Macaca fascicularis: one gene and its partner. Each later gene encodes a partner of the first gene's protein in a complex. Links are inferred from orthologs where the notes say so. Each region holds a gene or a part of one and is shown in the gene's direction. Other genes may lie near its edges.

Region 1 (9,546 bases):
AGCCTCCACCTCCTGGGATCAATCGATCCTCTCACCTCAGCCTCCCAAGTAGCTGGCACTACAGGTGGGTGCCACTACACCCTAAAATTATATATTCTTATGTACTACCTGTGTGTGCGTGTGTGTGTGTGTGTGTGTGTACGGAGTCAATAAATTTCAAAGTCAATAAAAGTTCTTTTTTTTTTTTGAAACGGAGTCTTCCTCTGTCTCCCAGGCTGGAGTGCAGTGGCGCGATCTCGGCTCACTGCAACATCCGCCTCCCGGATTCAACCTATTCTCCTGCCTCAGCCTCCCAAGTAGCTGGGATTACAGGCGCATGCCACCACGCCCAGCTAATTTTTGTATTTTTAGTAGAGATGGGTTTTCACCATGTTGGTCAGGCTAGTCTCGAACTCCTGACCTTGTGATCCGCCCACCTTGGCCTCCCAAAGTGCTGGGATTATAGGTGTGAGCCACTGCGCCCAGCCTGTTTGTTTGTTTGTTTTCAGATGGAGTTTTGCTCTTGTCGCCCAGGCTGGAGTGCAATGGCGCAATCTTGGCGCACTGCAATCTCCTTCTCCTGGGTTCAAGCGATTCTCCGGCCTCAACCTCCCAAGTAGCTGGGATTACTGATGCCCGCCACCACGCCTGGCTAATTTTTGTACTTTTAGTAGAGACAGGGTTTCACCATGTTGGCCAGGCTGGTCTCGAACTCCTGACCTCAGGTGATCCACCCGCCTCAGCCTCCCAAAGTGCTGGCATTACAGGCATGAGCCACCACACCTAGCCAATAAAAGTTCTTTAAATTCCAACAGTAGAGCAAACTTGGTATTCAGATTCCTTCCAGGCTTTGACAATGAGTGCACATGAGGGCCACTGCTGTGAGCCCAGGATGGGTGTGACTAGGCACCGGTTGACCCATTGTGGCTGTTCCAAGGCTGCCCACATAGCCTCACCCAGGACTCCATCAAAAGCCCACAATGTGTGTATATGTGTATACATTTGATTATTGTATATACACACATTCTTAGTGTTGATGTATTTCAGCACAATCTTTTTTATTTTTTTTTGTGGAGTTTGTTTGTTTTTGGTGTTTTGAGACAGACTGTCCCCCTGTCGCCCAGGTTGGAGTGCAACGGCGTGATCTCAGCTCACTGCAACCTCCGCCTCCCCGGTTCAAGCGATTCTCGTGCCTCAGCCTCCCAAGTAGCTGGAATTATGGGCATGCACCATCACACCCAGCTAATTTTTGTATTTTTAGTAGAGACGGGGTTTCGCCATGTTGGCCAGCTGGTCTGGAACTCCTGACCTCAAGTGATCTGCCCACCTTGGCCTTCCAAAGTGCTGGGATTACTGGTGTGAGCCACCAGGCCCGGCCGCACAATCCTTTTTGAAAGCAATTTAGCAATATGAATGAAGAACCATAAAATGTGCACGTACAAAATGGTACAGCCACTGTGGAAAACAGCTTGGCAGTTTCTTGTAAAACTAAGATACAACTACCACATGACCCAATGATTGCACTCATGGGCAATTATCCCAGAGAAATAAAAACTTATGTTCACACAAAATCTTGTACATGTATTTTCACAGCAGCTTTATCCATAATAACCCCACACGGAAAACCACCCAGATGTCTTTCAGAGGGTGAATGGTTAAACAAACCATGAATACTTTGCAATAAAAGGGAACGAACTATTGATACACGCAACAACTTGGATGATCTCCGGGGAACAATGCCGAGTGAAAAAAGCAATCCCAAGAAGTCACATACTGTACGATTCCATTTATATAACACTTTTGAAATACCAAAATGGCAGAAATGGAAAACAGATTAGTGGTGGGAGGAGGTGGGGGGAGGGAAGTGTGGCTATAAAAGGGCAGCTAGAGGAATCCTTGTGATGGTAACTTCTTGTATCTTGACTGCACCAATGTCAATATTCTGATGGCAAGATGTTACTACTGGGGGAAAATGAATAAACAATACTTGGGATCTCTCTACATGGTTTCTTATAACTCTACATGAATCTACCATGTTCTCAAAATAAAAAGTTTAATTTAAAAAATGTTTTTAGAGATAGGGTCTTGCTGTGTCACCCAGGCTGGAGTGTGGGGGCTGGATCGTAGCTCACTGCAATCTCGAACTGCTGAGCCTTTCAAGCGATCCTCCCACCTCCGCCTCCCAAAGCACTGGGATTACAAGCGTAAGCCACCAAGCCCATCCCAAATATTTACTTTAAAAAAAAAAAAAAAAAAAAAAAAAACAAAAAACAAAAAAAAAACCCACCTTCTTTTGGCCAGTTATCCCAGGACGGGAAATCTATCCCAGGAATATAATCCGAAAGAAAACAAAAACCAAAACAAAATTGAAAAAAAGCACGTCGAATGTACCAGATATTCACTACAGCATTATTTAAAACAGGGAAAAAAGAAACAATCAGGGAAATACTTAAATCATGATACAGCCACTGGAGAACTATGCAGTCTTTGATGCCGTAACAGAGAAATGTTATTTGAAAAAGCAGGATACAGGCCAGGCGCAGTGGCTGACGCCTGTAACCCCAGCACATTGGGAGGCCGAGGCGGGTGGCATCACTCGAGCTCAGGAGTTCAAGACCAGTGTGAGCAACACAGTGAAATCCCGTCTCTACCAAAAATACAAAAAAAAAAAAAAAAGAAAAAAGAAAAAGAAAAAGAAAAAAGAAAAAAAAAATTAGCCGGGCGTGGTGGCATGTATTTAGAGTCCCAGCTACTTGGGAGGCTGAGGTGGGAGCATGGCTTGAGGCTGGGAGGCAGAGGTTGCAGTATGCAGAAACCTCGCCTCAAAAAAAGAAAAGAAAAAGGATACGAAATTGTGATACAACTCTGTGAAGACTACTAGACACATTACAAAATTTTTAATAGTAGTACTCTACGTGGCATTCTGGTAGAAACGATTTCCTTTCCTCAAACTCCCCGTAATAATGTTTTTATACGGTCTGGGGGGATGGGAGATAACATTAAACGACACTTTTTATATCACAAACGCTGGAGTCAATAAAAGTTCTTTAAATTCCTCCAGCAGTAGAGCAAACTTGGTATTCCGATTCTGTCCAGGCTTTGACCAAGAGCGCACCCGAGGGCCACCGCCTTCGTGATCCCAAGCGGGTGTGACTGGGCACCAGTTGGTCCACTGCGGCTGTTCCAACGCTGCCCTCACAGCCTCACCCCAGGACTCCACCAGGAGCACAGGGAAGGGGTCCCCGAGAGTGGGCGAGGTCGCTGCCCGGAGGTAGTGACCACTCCAAGGTCACCATGGAGAACCCGCAGACAGGGCTCGGCACGGCCCAAGACTCCCCGACTCTAAGTCCAGGTCTCGCTCTCTGTGCCGCGCCCCTCGTCCCATCCCGAGCAGCTACCCCCAAGCTCCCAGGGGCTCCGCCGAGGCGAAGCCTCACATTGCGGCTTGGCGGCCGACAAGACCCGCGACCCTGATCTCGGCACCTCCACGCCACCGCCCGGGGGCCAAGACCCCCGAGCACCGCCACATAGCGTAGCCCAGACCGGTTCCCTCATCCTTTTTCGCCCTCTCAACCCAGCTTTTCCCGACTCCGGGAAGAACCGGGAAGAGAAGGCGGAGGGGAGCGAAGCGCCGCCTGATAAATACTGTGGCCCAGTCCCGCCCCCGAAACGTCACATCCGGCCCGTGCCAAGATGGCAGCGCCCAGGCGGTGCCACGCAGACTTCCGCCCGGTGCGGAGACCTAAAGCTGGCAGCGGGTCGCGTCGCAGGTGAAGTGGTGACGCGCGGTGTGGAGCCGCGGCCCGGGTGCGTCCCTGCCTGGTTCCTGGGCGGGGTTCCTGGAGAGAGGGCGTGTCGCGAGCCAAAGGCTCTCACCTGGGTGGTCCCGGGAATCTCGCCACGTGGGAGGGGAGGAGCTGAGAGGCCACTGGAGGGACGCACCGACTGGGGGACCGGAAAGCAAGGGGGTTGGGTTCCGCCAGGGTCCGCGTGTCAGTCCACTCTGGTAATCTCGTCCCCCCTTCTCTCCCAGGCAACATGTCGGAAGGAAACGCCGCCGGCGAGCCCAGCACTCCGGGAGGGCCCCGACCCCTCCTGACTGGGGCCCGGGGGCTCATCGGGCGGCGGCCGGCGCCTCCCCTCACCCCCGGCCGCCTTCCCTCCATCCGTTCCAGGGACCTCACCCTCGGGGGAGTCAAGAAGGTATCCAACGGCGCGTTTCTAAAGAAACTCAACTACCTTGAATTCCAAGCCCCGGCATTCAACTGATGTTTGTGTAGGGCCTACTATGTGTCAGGAGTGTCGTTGGGCCTCAAGCCTACCCCTCTTTAAATTCTAGGGAGCCTGTCCTATCTTCAAATCTAGGTACTGAGTACAAAATGTTGAAATGAGTCCCAGAGGTGGTTGAAAGACAGAGAATCCTAATAAGTTAAAGTCGTTCAAAAGTAATTTGAACAGTGTTTATTTACTCTTATTGTGTGTTTGGACATTTTTAAGAAACCCATGAAAGCCAGGCAGGCATAAACTTCACAGTCTTAGAGCGTTCAGAATTCACCATCTCAGTGTGCAAACTTGTTATCTAGAGTATCATGAATCCTAGGCATGGCATTCGAGGCTCTGTGGGCTGTCCCATGTGTATATGACTGTGGATGTCAAGAGTAGCCCAGAAAGGGGTGGTGTCAGGATGACAGAAGAATAAAGCAGGTTTTTGGGTTTTTTTTTTGAGACGAAGTCTCGCCCTAGTCCCCCAAACTGGAGTGTAATGGCATGATCTTGGCTCACTGCAACCTCTGCCTCCCGGGTTTGAGTGATTCTCCTGCCTCAGCCTCCTGAGTAGCTGGGATTACAGGTGCCCGCCACCATGTCCAGCTGATTTTTGTATTTTTAGTAGACACAAGGTTTCACCATGTTGGCCAGGCTGTTCTTGAACCCCTGACCTTGTGATCCACCCACCTCGGCCTCCCAAAGTGCTGGGATTACAGGCGTGAGCCACCGCTCCCGGCCAAATAAAGCAGTTTTTTTTGTTTGTTTGTTTTGTTTTTAACAGAGTCTCTTTCTGTCGCCCAGGCTGTAGCACAGAGGCACCATCTCAGCTCACTGCAACCTCCACCTCCTGGGGTTCAAGCGATTCTCCTCCCTCAGCCTCCCGAGTAGCTGGGATTACAGAGGCCTGCCACCGCACCTGGCTAATTTTTGTAGTTTTTAGTAGAGACGGGGTTTCACCATCTTGGCCAGGCTGATCTTGAACTCCTGACCTCATGATCCACCTGCCTTGGCCTCCCAAAGTGCTGCGATTACAGGCGTGAGCCACCACGCCTGGACATAAAGCAGTCTTTAGAAACCTAACTTTGCCTTGGAAAATATGGAAAAACACTGCCAACAGTGATTGAGAGTATTGGCAGATCTGTGGCCTTCCCTACTTAGGCCTTGCTGCTAGAGATGTTCCCCCATGATACTGACTGGTCTCTATAGCAGTTTGAAGATAAGAGGTGAGACCAGAGAAATTCCTTTGCTTTTAGAAGTCCCAGAGGACCTTCTTTCAGGATCTTCTTTCCTAAGGCTGCTGGTTAAAAATGGTTTTTGGTGCCCCTTTCTTCTATGCATAACTCCACTGCCACCACACCATGACGTTCCTCCTTTTCAGGCACACGTGTATCTAGAAAACTGACAGCACTGTGGAATGTGCCAAAGAGAGTCATGGTGGCCGTGGTCTGTAGAAGATGCCCGTTGGGAGTTTTTATTTTCCTCTGTACTTTGGGATCAGGACCTAACACATCAGTGACTCCTGTATTTTGCTTTCAGAAAACCTTCACCCCAAATATCATCAGTCGGAAGATCAAGGAAGAGTAAGTAGCTAGTCCTTCTGAATACTTGCCCCTTATTTACTTGCTCTGAATTTGGGGCTTTGGGGAGAAATAAGTAGGTTTGTGGCTCCAAAATTTAAATTTATATCTTTAGTTCTTTTCACTAGTGATTTTCAACCCTGGCTCCTAGGTGATTCTAATGTTTAAGCTTTAAAAAAAAAAAATACTGGTGTCTAGGGTTCCATCTCTAGAAATTGTGATTTAACTTGTTGGCAGTAGAATGGAGTGATTCTCTTTGATGGCCCGAGTTGAGAGCCAATAGTTTAAACAAAGATGTATCACGCTTTCCCTGAAGTTCCTTTGCATTTCTGCCTTCCTGCTTTCAGTCCCAATGCAAACAAAAATCTACATTTTTGGACAAGAACGTAAAGTAAAGCAAACTGAAAAAATCCTGCCTCATCAAGGAAGTGAGAAAAGTGCTAGAATTAGGATTGGATTCTGCTTCTCATGGTGTAATTATTGGCTCAAACTCTCCGCTGTCTTGGAGTGAAGTGGTATGGGAGAGTAAGGCCAGTTTTTGGAGACACAGTGAGTGAGTGGTTTCCCTTAATCCATTCTTTTTTCCAGGCCCAAGGAAGAAGTAACTGTCAAGAAGGAGAAGCGTGAAAGGGACAGAGACCGACAGCGAGAGGGGCATGGACGAGGACGAGGCCGCCCAGAAGTGATCCAGTCTCACTCCATCTTTGAGCAGGGCCCAGCCGAAATGATGAAGAAAAAAGGTACAAGGAAGGAATCAGTGAATTTCAGTTCAGACTGCCCAAGAGAAGGGCGAGAGCAGTGGAATTTCCCCGCTCCCAGTTCAGTTTTCCTTGCTGTTGGCATCTTCCTTATTGATCCCTAGTGACCTGGGTGATTTCCCACAGGGAACTGGGATAAGACAGTGGATGTATCAGACATGGGACCTTCTCATATCATCAACATCAAAAAAGAGAAGAGAGAGACAGACGAAGAAACTAAACAGATCTTGCGCATGCTGGAGAAGGACGATGTGGGTACCAGGAGGCTGTGGGGAAGGGGCTTCCTTGTGGCTGTAGAACAGGGCTTCTGGGGAGCCAGGTGAGGGGCAGAAGAGCTCACTGATGTCCTGGAATCCTGGGGAGCAGCAGGAATCTTTGGTTAGAAAGGGACTAAAGCAGACTTTGATCCAGGTGCATGTGCTAGCAGGCTGGATGACCCAGACTCTTTTTGGCAGTTCCTCGATGACCCCGGGCTGAGGAACGACACTCGAAATATGCCTGTGCAGCTGCCGCTGGCTCACTCGGGGTGGCTTTTTAAGGAAGAAAATGACGAACCAGATGTTAAACCTTGGCTGACTGGCCCCAAGGAAGAAGACATGGAGGTGGACGTACCTGCTGTGAAAGGTACTCTTGTCAGTTAACTTCTCATCTCCAATTCCATGGCTGCTCCCCAGGAATCCTGTGCATCAGGCATCCTTTGCATGTGTCCCTGACTGCTGCTCATGAGCAGGTCCTCCCATCCCGGCTGTAAGATACATGAGCTGAACAAAGATGCCCGATTCTCCCTCGCAGAGGGTTCCTGTGTTGGCATGGAGCGGTGGGCCCAGCCTCAGATGTCGCTTTTTAGATAAGTCAGGCGAGATTTAAACATGTTGTCTCTTGCCCCTCTCTATAACCAGTGCCCCCTTCCCACTCCCTGGCTGAGTGACAGTGGAGCAGACGGGGGCAAAGGGCTGGTAACAGTGAGCTAGTATGGAGGGTGGTCATGTGATAGCATTCCATTTCTATCACCCGGGCAGTGAAAGAGGAGCCACGAGATGAGGAAGAGGCCAAGATGAAGGCTCCCCCCAAAGCAGCCAGGAAGACCCCAGGCCTCCCAAAGGATGTATCCGTGGCAGAGCTGCTCAGGGAGCTGAGCCTCACCAAGGAGGAGGAACTGCTGTTTCTGCAGCTGCCAGACACCCTCCCTGGCCAGCCGCCCACCCAGGACATCAAGCCCATCAAGACAGAGGTGCAGGGTGAGGATGGACAGATGATGCTCATCAAGCAGGAGAAAGACCGGGTATGCTCAGGCAGAGGCCTGTGGGATAGAGTCGGGGACTAAGAGGGGAAGTGGTGACCTGTAGTGGGAAGCAAAGCCGTGCCACCCTGGCTGAAATGGGACAATAATGGGTGGTTTTTCTTGATGCCTGCAAGAGCCATGGGTCTTTGTACCTCCAACCCCAATTGTGTGTGTGTGTTGCAGGGATGTGTGTTCACTTCTTATAAGGAAATATTTCAAAGACATACAAATGAGAGAACAGGCCGGGCGCGGTGGCTCAAGCCTGTAATCCCAGCACTTTGGGAGGCTGGGACGGGCGGATCACGAGGTCAGGAGATTGAGACCATCCTGGCTAACACGGTGAAACCCCGTCTCTACTAAAAAAAAACAAAAAACTAGCCGGGTGAGGTGGTGGGTGCCTGTAGTCCCAGCTACTCGGGAGGCTGAGGCAGGAGAATGGCGGGAACCCGGGAGGCGGAGCTTGCAGTGAGCTGAGATCCGGCCACAGTACTCCAGCCTGGGTGACAGAGCGAGACTCCGTCTCAAAAAAAAAAAAAAAAAAAAAAACAAATGAGAGAACATATGGCCAGGTGCGGTGGCTCATGCCTCTAATCCTAGCACTTTGGAAGGGCAAGACGGGAGGATCACTTGAGCCCAGGAGATCGGGACTGGCCTGGGCAACATGGTGGCACCATGGCTAATACAAAAACTAGCCAGGCATGGTGGCGTGTGCCTGTAGTCCCTGCTACTTGGGAGGCTAAGGTGGGGGGATGGCTTGAGCCCAGGAAGCAGAGGTTGCAGTGAGCCAAGATCGCGCCACCACACCCCAATCTGGGTGACACAGTCAGACCTTGTCTCAAAAAAAAATGAGAACATAAACTGCCATGTACCAGAACTCAGCTTCAGCAGTTACTGATATTTTGTCCGTTTATGTATTTGTTTGCTATGGGTTTTGTATTTTAACCATAGCCGACAGCCCTAGGAGAAGGCACTCTTTGGGGAGCTCATTCTGACCTTTGCTGTGCCTTACTCTTAGGGAGTAGAAGGGGGTTCATGAAAGATGGAGGAAAGAGCTCCTAGCCCAGTGTCCATCTTCTGGTTTTCTGCGCAGGAAGCCAAGCTGGCAGAGAATGCTTGTACCCTGGCTGACCTGACAGAGGGTCAGGTTGGCAAGCTACTCATCCGCAAGTCTGGAAGGGTGCAACTCCTCCTGGGCAAGGTGACTCTGGACGTGACCATGGGAACAGCCTGCTCCTTCTTGCAGGTAAGAGCCTCCTTAGGGCAAGGGAGGGACCCTTTAAGGAGTGGAGGAGGATTGAAGAGCCAGTGCTAAATAAGGGAGGGGGTTTCTGGGAGTATCATGTCCCCATTCACAGCTCTACACGCTGGGCACGTGGTGGTGGTTCTCATCACTGTCTCTGTCCATTGGCAGGAGCTGGTGTCCGTGGGCCTTGGAGACAGTAGGACAGGGGAGATGACAGTCCTGGGACACGTGAAGCACAAACTTGTATGTTCCCCCGATTTTGAATCCCTCTTGGATCACAAACACCGGTAAAATGAGCAGATGGAGGAGGACGGTGCCTGTGCCCACGGCTGCTGCCTGCTCCAGACATTTTGTTCTTGAATCTGTGAGACCCAGAAGGGGCCCACTGAGCCCACCCACTCCAGCCTTTGGCAGCCATTGTCCCAGGTCCCCCAGGGCTTC
Region 2 (9,546 bases), on another chromosome or scaffold:
TCATCATCTTTCAGGTGGTCTTCCTGGGCCTCCTGGCTGGCCTGGTGGTCCTCTTCTACTTCTATCCTGTCCGCTGTGAGTGGTGCGAGTTCCTCACTTGCATCCCCTTCACTGACAAGTTCTGCGAGAAGTACGAACTGGACGCTCAGCTCCACTGAGCTGGCTGCGGGCTCCGGGGGTCGTGCGCTCCAGCAGGCCAGAGCCAGACACGACAACTCTGAGCCTCACAGGCTTACAGGAGTCACCTGCTCCATGTGGGGACTGGCCTGTTTCCTGGACACAGACCTCTTTCTTTTGCCTTGTTCACTTCTGTTGAACCCCTCGTACTGCTGGGCATTTATTATACTACTTCCCGTGATAACCTTCTAACTTGTTTCTTGACGACCACCTCATGTGGCCAATAAATGGACTGGGAGCGTTTTAGCTGCCATTAACTTGACCAGGGCTTCCCCTTCCTTCTTTGTTTCTGGCTGGGAGCTGTGGAGGGGCCTGCAGCCAACTCACTGGGCAGGGAACTGAGTGTCAGATACAGTCAACAGGCTCTTTTGCTTCCCAGTGAAATCCTTCAGCCGGGCACGTGCACCTTGCTCTTTCTCCTTAGAGTGCCTGGTAGCCGACGCTGGGACAAGGACCTAGGGATGTGCTGTCACACCCTCCCCACGTGCTGGGAAACACCCCGCCCCTACCCTCAGCAGCTCCAATTTCCACCCTGCACTACCTCCCTGTCCACTGAATCTGCTGAAGGCACTGCTACAGGCGAACCCTAAAGGCTGACGCTGGAGGGCCCACACATAGCCGTGCTGTGCTCGCTGCCACCTGCCACTGTGAGCTCCAGGACGCAGACCCTAAAGCCACTCTGCTTTTATTTCCTCCTTGCTGTGGAGATGATGGTAACACAGTTGTGTGGTTTGGGGAGTGGTGTGGCCACAAGGCTTTGGTGGTGTGACATCTTGGACTATAGGACTTACGTGTACCAATTCTCTCCCCTTAACTCACCTCTGTGATGGGGCAACCTCAGTCTTTGCTACCCAGGGTACTGTGGCTTTTGACTTTTAGAAGCACACAGGTTTATTTTATACACAGGGCCAGGCTGTGGCTCTGCCATGTGACCAGGGTCTTTGGACCCAAGGAGAGGTCAGTCTCAGGCCAAGTACATGAAAGAAGGGAGCACTGGCTCACCCTGTCCTAGTCCTGAGGGCCCCCAGGTTCATGCTGACAGTTCCTGTTGGGTGCCTTTGTGTGAAAGAGGCACAATGACTCGAGGATCTGATCCTGCTGGGAAAAAGCTCAGCCACCAGTGATAAAGAGAGTTGTCCTGTCTGGAGGCTCACTTTTGCCTCAGCTTTTTGATGAAGGAAACCTCATCTCGATTCCGGATGCCATAACTGAAAAAGAAGGAAAGGCGTAAAGCACCTGCCCTACAGAAGGACACATCTGTGACTCCCCTCCTTAGGCTTGTGGGGGGCCACGAAGAAACAACAGAGGGGAGGCATGTGGCCTCTGGGAAGGCCAGGAAGTGGTAGTGGCCATCCTCTCACAGACCCAGAAGCACTCTGACTCACAAGTCCCTGGGGCAGGGAACTGAGTGTCAGATAGTCATAGCCTTTCGCTTCCATGCCCACTCTGATTTCCTCCCTCCTGGCACTGTGTAGCCCTAAGCTGCCACTGGTGGGAAGCAGCAAGGCCCCTCCAGTGCCCTCTGCCTGCCATTCTCCTAGTGGGGAGGGCCCCAAGGAAGCTCCTTGGAGGAGGGTGTTACCTCCAGAGAGTGAGCCGCAGCCCTCTGGCAGAGCACGGGGGACTAGGGGTCAACAGAACAGCTGTCCCCTACAGCTCAAGATGTGGCCGGCACTTACTCTCGGAGCTTCTTTTTATCTTCTGTGAGTTTCTCTCCGGCAGAGGTCAGATGGTACGTCCTCCACACATAAGACCTGCAAGAGGGGAACGCAGGTAAACCACACGCCCTGAGCAGGGTGAGCTGAGTGGCTGTGCATGGCGTGGGCTTGAGGCATTCAGCCCTATGGGACCTGGGGCAGCTGTCCTCCCTACCTGGGCTGTTCTGTACAATGTGCAAATTGGCTCTGAGGCGGCTGCACGGAGGCTCTGTTCTCAGAGGCCTGTATGGGGCGGCTTGCTAATGCAATAGGTGACAGTGTTGAGACTCAGTGAACAGGACAGTTGATCCAATAGGAGAGTGAGGGCTGCCAGCACCCAGGTGAGAAGGGGATGGTAGCCACTACAGGTGTACCATCCATAACTAGGGAGGCCACTTCCACACACACTGGAAATGCCCGACGGGGTCCCCAAGTGAGGATATCCAGCAGCTTGGATGGGGTGATGGCGATGAAAGCAGTATGTTAGGGATGGCCGAGGCAGGAGTCCCAGGCACAGAAGGACCTGCACTGTCTGAACTCTTGTGACGGGGAGCTCATCACTTCAGTGGTGCTGTACTCATGCAGAGTTGAGAGCTGTTTCCAGGTGGTGCCTGGTGACAGTGCCAAGAACAGCACTAGCCCCAGGAAGGGCTATAATGAAGGGATTGTCGTTCCACTTACCAGCTGATGTGCTGAATGCCCCCTTCACGCTCCTGCTTGAGCTGCACGTATCTCTGGATGGCCTTCTTCAGGTCCAGGACGGTGGCACTCTGCACTACCACCACAGCTGCAACCACGGACACAGATGGGAGAAGATCCACAGTGAGAACCCAAAGCCATAGCCTCCGATGGCAGGAAAGGAACCCGGAAGCTCTGTGCACAGGGCAGGTTTGTGGTTGCCCCAGTACCCCTGGGCATGGCCTGTGAGTTGCGGAGCAGGCTGACCAGCACTGTTACATTTTGCTGCTGTGAAAGCCTGGACCACATAACCTGAAGGGAGGAGGGCACACTTACGCATTACTTCTCCATCCATCTTGCACACTCGGACCGTCATTGCCTGGCCATATTCTAGGGCTATTTGGGAGTTGACTTCTTCCAAAGTAACCTAGAAAAGACCAAGGGCAGAAGTGGGAACCCTGGCTGTCTTTACAACAACAAAGAACAAGCTGACAGTGGCCAAAAAGTGGTGCTCCATTTTACGAAGGGCAAGGAAGGGTACTTGCATATATGTTAGAGTTTCCCAATTCATCAGAGCCCCAATCTCATGTTCCACTCACATTTTAATGTCCAAAGTGGACAGAGTCTCTGGGGGAAAGAGGTGCTAAAAAACAGGCAAGAGAATAAACTCACATGAGGATCCATCCCCAGGGGTGGGTGGGGTCCTGTCAGTTCACCCTGAGTATCCCTGATCATCAGGACCCAGGCCAGGGCCCAGGACTGAGTAAGGCAGGTGTACACAAAAAACGGTAATAACAAATATTTTAATACAACATTTAAGAAATACAAGGCAATTAAAATATCCATGATGAGCAAAATATAAAACATTTAAAACTGGCCGGGTGCGGTGGTCCACGCCTGTAATCCCAGCACTTGGGAGGCCGAGGCCAGCGGATCACTAGATCAGGAGATTGAGACCATCCTGGCCAACATGGTGAAACCCCGTCTCCACTAAAATACAAAAAATTAGCCGGGCGTTGTGCCGTGTTCCTGTAGTGAACCTGGGAGTGGGAGGTTGCAGTGAGCCAAGATCGCACCACTACACTCCAGCCTGGCGACAAATCAAGACTCAGTCTCAAATAAATAAAAAGTATCGTGCCAAAGCATATTGACGCTTGAGGCAAATGGAACTAAGTTTTTTCGTTTATCGTAGGGTTTTTTTTTTTTTTTTTTTTTTTTTTGCATCACCTTTGACTTTTAAAGCTATTACAGGCCGAGTGGGTGGCTCACACCTATAATCCCAGCTTTTTGGGAGGCTGAGGTAGGAGAATCGCCTGAGCCCAGGAGTTTGACACCAGCCTGGGCAACATAGTGGGACTCCCTCTGTACAAAAAATTTAAAAATTAGCCGGGTGTGGTGGCGCGCATCTGTGGTCCCAATTACTCCGGAGGCTGAGGTGGGAGGATGGCTTGAGCTCAGGAGGTGCAGGCTGCAGTGAGCCAAGATCGCTCCACTGCACTCCAGCCTGGGCGACAGAGCAAGACCCTGTCCCCCCAGCCCCCTAAATACAATTACATTAAAATTTCATTTAATGTCACTCACTAATGAGGGTTTTGGTTCCTCTTTAAACTTCGCGCCGCAGGCGAGTGTGCCTGGCCAAGGTAAAGACCCTTGTTTACGCCCAGAGGCGCCTTCCTCAGCCTTGGGCCGCAGCCTCCCACCAGCACCTTCAGAGGCTGCGCGCGCCCGGACGCCCGGCCCCCGGGGAACGACTCCCGCCCCCCTGGCCCCCGCCAGCACACACCTGGATCGGCAGATCGCAGAGCAGCGGGTCCTGCACCACCATAGCCAGACCCTCCTGGAACACGTCCATGGCCTCGGAGTGCGGCAGCGCCTCTTCTTCGTCCTCATCTTCCTCTTGCGCCTCGGACCCACCCGCGGCCTCCATCTCCTCCAGGGCAGCACCTCTCAGCCGGTCTCTGCCGGCACTTCCAGTACGCACTAGGGAGGCCAAGCGCGCACGCGCAGGAACTGCGGCCGGTCCCAGCGAGGCCGCCCAGCCATTGGTGCGCCGAGGGGTGGGGCGGCTGCAGTGACCAATGACAAGTGCGAGACAGCCAGCAGCAGGGCTGGGAGCGCAGAATCGCCCTGTCTATTGGTTGGTGGGCGGGGCGAGGCGGCCGCCAGGACCAATGTAAGCTCGAGGCGGGCCGCGCGTCGGCGCTGAGCGGCAGTGTGAGCTGCCGGTGGTTGGCGCCTGCGGAGTTCGAGACCATGCTGCTATTCTGCCCCGGCTGCGGGAACGGGCTGATCGTGGAGGAGGGACAACGCTGCCACCGCTTCGCCTGCAACACGTGCCCCTACGTGCACAACATCACCCGCAAGGTGGGACCCGAAGGCCGGCGCTGGGCCGCGGGCGCCTCTCGCAGGCCTTCCCCTTCCTCCGACTGCGGCGCCATCGCCGCCAGCCCCGGCGTCTGCCTCTGTCCGCTCTTTCTCGCTCCCCCTTCCGGTCTGCAGCAGATCTGTGGGCTCTTTCTGTGGGCTCCAGCACACTCAGAAAGCCCCACCGTTTCCCGCCTCCTTGGGTTCCTGCTCCCACGCTTGCGCCCTCCTCTGCGTTCACAGCAGCGGCCACGGCGATTCCCTTAAAGCTGAGGCACGTAGGTCCGTGCTGTGCGCAGAAACCTTCGGCCGTTCCCCAGCTCGTGCAGACGAAAAGCTGGAATTCTTCCAGGGCCTACCATGTTCAGACACTGACCCCCTCCCCGACTTGCTTCTCCGATTTCAAGTCCTATTGCCCTTTGCCCCATCAACACCAGCCTCCTGGACGATCTCTCATTGTGCACATGGCGCTCGCAGGGCCTTTGCACTTACTGTTACTAACTTCGCTCTTCCCCTAGATAGCCACCTTACTCATTGGTCTTGTCTTTACCGTATTTTAAATTGCAGCCCCTCCGTCCAATGTATCCTCCTTCCCTTTGTAATTGTTTCCACAGGGCTTGTTACCTTCGAATACATTACGTAATGTATCGTGTGCTTTGTTTATTAATAGTAGGACCTGGCCGGGCGCCGTGGCTCACGCCTCTAATCCCAGCACTTTCGGAGGCCAAGGCGGGTGTATCACTTGAGGTTAGGAGTTCGAGACCAGCCTGACTGACATGATGAAACCCCATCTCTACTAAAAATACAAAAATTAGCCGGGCATGGTGGCAGGCGCCTGTAATCCCAGCTATTCGGGAGACCGAGGCAGGAGAATGGCTTGAACTTGGGCGGCGGAGGTTTCAGTGAGCCAAGATCGCGCCACTGCACTCCAGCCTGGGCAACAAGAGTGAAACTCCGTTTCAAAAAAAAGAAAAAAAAAGTAGGACCTAAGGTCTAGGAGGGCAGAGGTTTTCCGTTTTGTTCCCTTCTATGTTATATTCTGAACAACTAAAATGAAACCTAGAATATAGTAGGTGTTCAGTAAGCAGATGATGCATGCTTTATTATAACTTGTTGTTTTCCTTTGATAATACATATTTTCTTTTTACTTTTTAGAATACTTTTACTTTTTTTTTTTTTTTTGAGACGGAGTCTCCCTCTGTCGCCCAGGCTGGAGTGCAGTGGCGCCATCTCGGTTCACTGCAAGCTTCGCCTCCCGTGTTCACGCCATTCTCCTGCCTCAGCCTCCCTAGTAGCTGGGACTATAGGCGCCCACCACCACGCCCGGCTAATTTTTAATATTTTTAGTAGAGACAGGGTTTCACCGTGTTAGCCAGGATGGTCTCAATCTCCTGACCTTGTGATCCGCCCGCCTCGGCCTCCCAAAGTGCTGGGATTACAGGTGTGAGCCACCACGCCTGGCCAATTTTTTTGTGTTTTTAGTGGACAGGCTTTCCCCGTGTATTAGCCAGGATGGTCTCGATCTCCTGACCTTGTGATCCGCCTGCCTTGGCCTCCCAAAGTGCTGGGATTACAGGCGTGAGCCACCGTGCCCAGCTTTTTTTTTTTTTTTTTGAGACACAGTCTGGCTTTGCTTCCCAGGCTGGAGTGCAATGGTGCAATCTCGGCTCACTGCCACCTCTGCCTCCCGGGTTCAAACAATTCTTCTGCCTTAGCTTCCTGAGTAGCTGGGATTACAGGCTCCTGCCACCACCCCCCAGCTAATTTTTGTATTTTTGGTAAAGACGGGGTTTCACCACGGTGACCAGGCTGGTCTCGAACTCCTGACCTCAGGTGATCCACTTGCCTTGGTCTCCCAAAGTGCTGGGATTACAGGCATGAGCCACGACGTCTGGCCAGAATACCTTTATTTTTAGAAGTTAGAATATGTTGGTGCTACCGCCGGGCGCGGTGGCTCACGCCTGTAATCCCAGCACTTTGGGAGGCCGAGGCGGGCGGATCACAAGGTCAGGAGATCGAGACCACGGTGAAACCCCGTCTCTACTAAAAATACAAAAAATTAGCCGGGCGCGGTGGCGGGCGCCTGTAGTCCCAGCTACTCAGGAGGCTGAGGCAGGAGAATGGCGTAAACCCAGGAGGCGGAGCTTGCAGTGAGCCGAGATCGCGCCACTGCACTCCAGCCTGGGCGACAGAGCGAGACTCCGTCTCAAAAAACAAAACAAAACAAAACAAAAAAAAGAATATGTTGGTGCTACCTCAGTCTTAATGTTTGCATGCTACTACATTTTGTACTGTGTTGTGGGAGTTTGGAGTTGGAAACTGTGGGAAGAGTGAACTCTTATATAATCCTGAAATTCGAGGTTTGGCAGCCCAGGTTTGTGCTATGCAGTTACCTGGAGTCTGAAGTGTTGTTTTTGTTAGGTAACAAATCGGAAGTACCCAAAACTGAAAGAAGTGGATGATGTGCTTGGTGGAGCAGCTGCCTGGGAGAATGTTGACTCTACTGCAGGTAAGAGGGAACACTGTTTCTGTTGCTAAACTGGATAATTATGAGGCTGTTGATGCCACTGCATGGCAGAGTCTGTGATGTCATATAAATGATGTAGGTTTCTAAAAATAGAAATGGTTTTTGAATAATTTATTAGTATTTGTTACTGTTTAGTAATCTGTTACACAAGCAATATTTGTACAAGCCTTGGAGTCATACAGGCCCATGTTAGATCCTCAGGCCCTTGTACTGTGGTAGGACCTTCCTTGGGTCTCTTGACTTCTCTGGGGCTAATCCATATTCGTAGATCGTGAGAGCATAAAGTGAGTTATACCGTGCTTGGTATATAAGAGGCAGTGAGCAGGTGATAGCTTTGATAATGGCAATGATGAGTAGATTAATAAAAATAAGAATCTAAGGAAAAAAGTATGTTCTTTCTGTTTGATATGGTTTGGCTGTGTCTTCACCCAAACATCTTTTTATTTTTATTTTTTTTTTGAGACTGAGTCTGGCTCTGTCGTCCAGGCTGGAGTGCAGTGGCCGGATCTCCGCTCACTGCAAGCTCCGCCTCCCGGGTTTACGCCATTCTCCTGCCTCAGCCTCCCGAGTAGCTGGGACTACAGGCGCCGCCACTTCGCCCGGCTAGTTTTTTGTATTTTTTAGTAGAGACGGGGTTTCACCGTGTTCGCCAGGATGGTCTCGATCTCCTGACCTTGTGATCCACCCGTCTCGGCCTCCCAAAGTGCTGGGATTACAGGCTTGAGCCACCGTGCCCGGCCACCACCCAAACATCTTGAATTATGGTTCTTGTAATCCCCAGGTGTCCTGGGAGGGGCTCACTGGGAAGGAATTGAGTCAGTCATGGGAGTGGTTCCCCCCCCTCCGTGCTGTTCTCACAAGATCTGATTGTTTTATGAGCGTTTGGCATTTCCCCTGCTCACACTCATTCTGTCTTTTGCTGCCTGTGTGAAGAGGTACCTTCCTCCATGATTGTAGGTTTCCTGAGGCATCCGCAACCACACAGAACTGTGAGTAAATTTAGACCCCTTTTCTTGGCTGGGCGCGGTGGCTCACGCCTGTAATCCCAGCAGTTTGGGAGGCCAAGGTTGGCAAATCACTTGAGGTCAGGAGTTCCAGACCAGCCTGGCCCACATGGCGAAACCCTGTCTCTGCTAAAAATAAAATAATTAGTCGGTCGTGGTGGTGCGAGCCTGTAGACCCAGCTGCTCAGGAGGCTGAGGCACGAGAATTGCTTGAACCCGGGAGGCAGAGGTTGCAGTGAGCTGAGATCGCACTATTGTGCTCCAGCCTTGATGACAAGAGTGAGACTCTGTCTCAAAACAAACAAACCAACAAACGAAACCGCTTTTTCCTATGTAAATTACCCAGTCTCAGGTATTCATATCAGTGTGAGAACGGACTAATACACTGTGCTCATATAGATTTCTAGAAGTTAATACCAATGAGCATGAGCATTAAACTGCAGATTGGGTAAAATAAATGTGTATTGCATGTCTGATAGAGATAGATGTGACCAGCAGAGGAAAGGGGAAGGCCCTAAATATAAGATGTATTGAGAGGAGAGAGAGAACTGATGGTTAGTACTGTGTTTTTCCCCCGATAGAAGAACATATAGGCCGGGTGCGGTGGCTCACACCTGCAATCCCAGCACTTTGGGAGGCCAGTACGGGCGGATCACCTGAGGTCAGGAGTTTGAAAGCAGCCTGGCTAACACGAAGAAACCCCGTTTCTACTAAAAATACAAAAAATTAGGCAGGTGTGGTGGCGGGCACTGGTAATGCCAGCTACTCGGGAGGCTGGCACAGGTGAATCACTTGAACCCGGGAAGCAGAGGTTGCAGTGAGCCGAGATTGCGTCATTGCACTCCAGCTTGGGCAACAAGAGGGAAACTGTCAAAAAAAAAAAAAAAAGAAGAACATAGAAATCTAATCTGCTATGTGAAAAAGTTAGTGGCCAGCGCGGTGGCTCACACCTATAATCTCAGCACTTTGGGAGGCCAGTGCGGGTGGATCATGAGGTCAAGACATCAAGACCATCCTGGCCAACATGGTGAAACCCTGTTTCTTTTAAAAATACAAAAAGTAGCTGGGTGTGGTGGTCCATGCCTGTAATCCCAGCTAC

The links. Proteins that work in one complex are often made in the same cells at the same time.
Region 2: POLR3D (region 1) and POLR3K share a complex: the UniProt entries of both Homo sapiens proteins name them as parts of the RNA polymerase III complex. The link is inferred for Macaca fascicularis from reciprocal best matches to the Homo sapiens genes POLR3D and POLR3K.

What each region holds. Positions count from the first base shown.
Region 1 is NC_088382.1:25,313,696-25,323,241, forward strand, and holds the start of POLR3D (DNA-directed RNA polymerase III subunit RPC4), read left to right. Parts: upstream 1-3,664; 5' UTR 3,665-3,749; exon of another isoform or gene 3,750-3,786; intron 3,787-4,012; 5' UTR 4,013-4,017; coding exon 4,018-4,182; intron 4,183-5,781; coding exon 5,782-5,825; intron 5,826-6,410; coding exon 6,411-6,562; intron 6,563-6,706; coding exon 6,707-6,831; intron 6,832-7,035; coding exon 7,036-7,204; intron 7,205-7,599; coding exon 7,600-7,862; intron 7,863-8,952; coding exon 8,953-9,105; intron 9,106-9,273; coding exon 9,274-9,396; 3' UTR 9,397-9,546. UniProt on the Homo sapiens protein: DNA-dependent RNA polymerase catalyzes the transcription of DNA into RNA using the four ribonucleoside triphosphates as substrates.
Region 2 is NC_088394.1:779,879-789,424, reverse strand, and holds the start of POLR3K (DNA-directed RNA polymerase III subunit RPC10), read left to right. Parts: upstream 1-4,753; 5' UTR 4,754-4,805; coding exon 4,806-4,916; intron 4,917-7,337; coding exon 7,338-7,425; intron 7,426-9,546. Other genes in the region: RHBDF1 (inactive rhomboid protein 1), read left to right, coding at 1-158; SNRNP25 (U11/U12 small nuclear ribonucleoprotein 25 kDa protein), read right to left, coding at 1,328-1,385, 1,857-1,931, 2,556-2,661, 2,889-2,979, 4,336-4,479. UniProt on the Homo sapiens protein: Core component of RNA polymerase III (Pol III) which synthesizes small non-coding RNAs using the four ribonucleoside triphosphates as substrates. Can mediate Pol I proofreading of the nascent RNA transcript.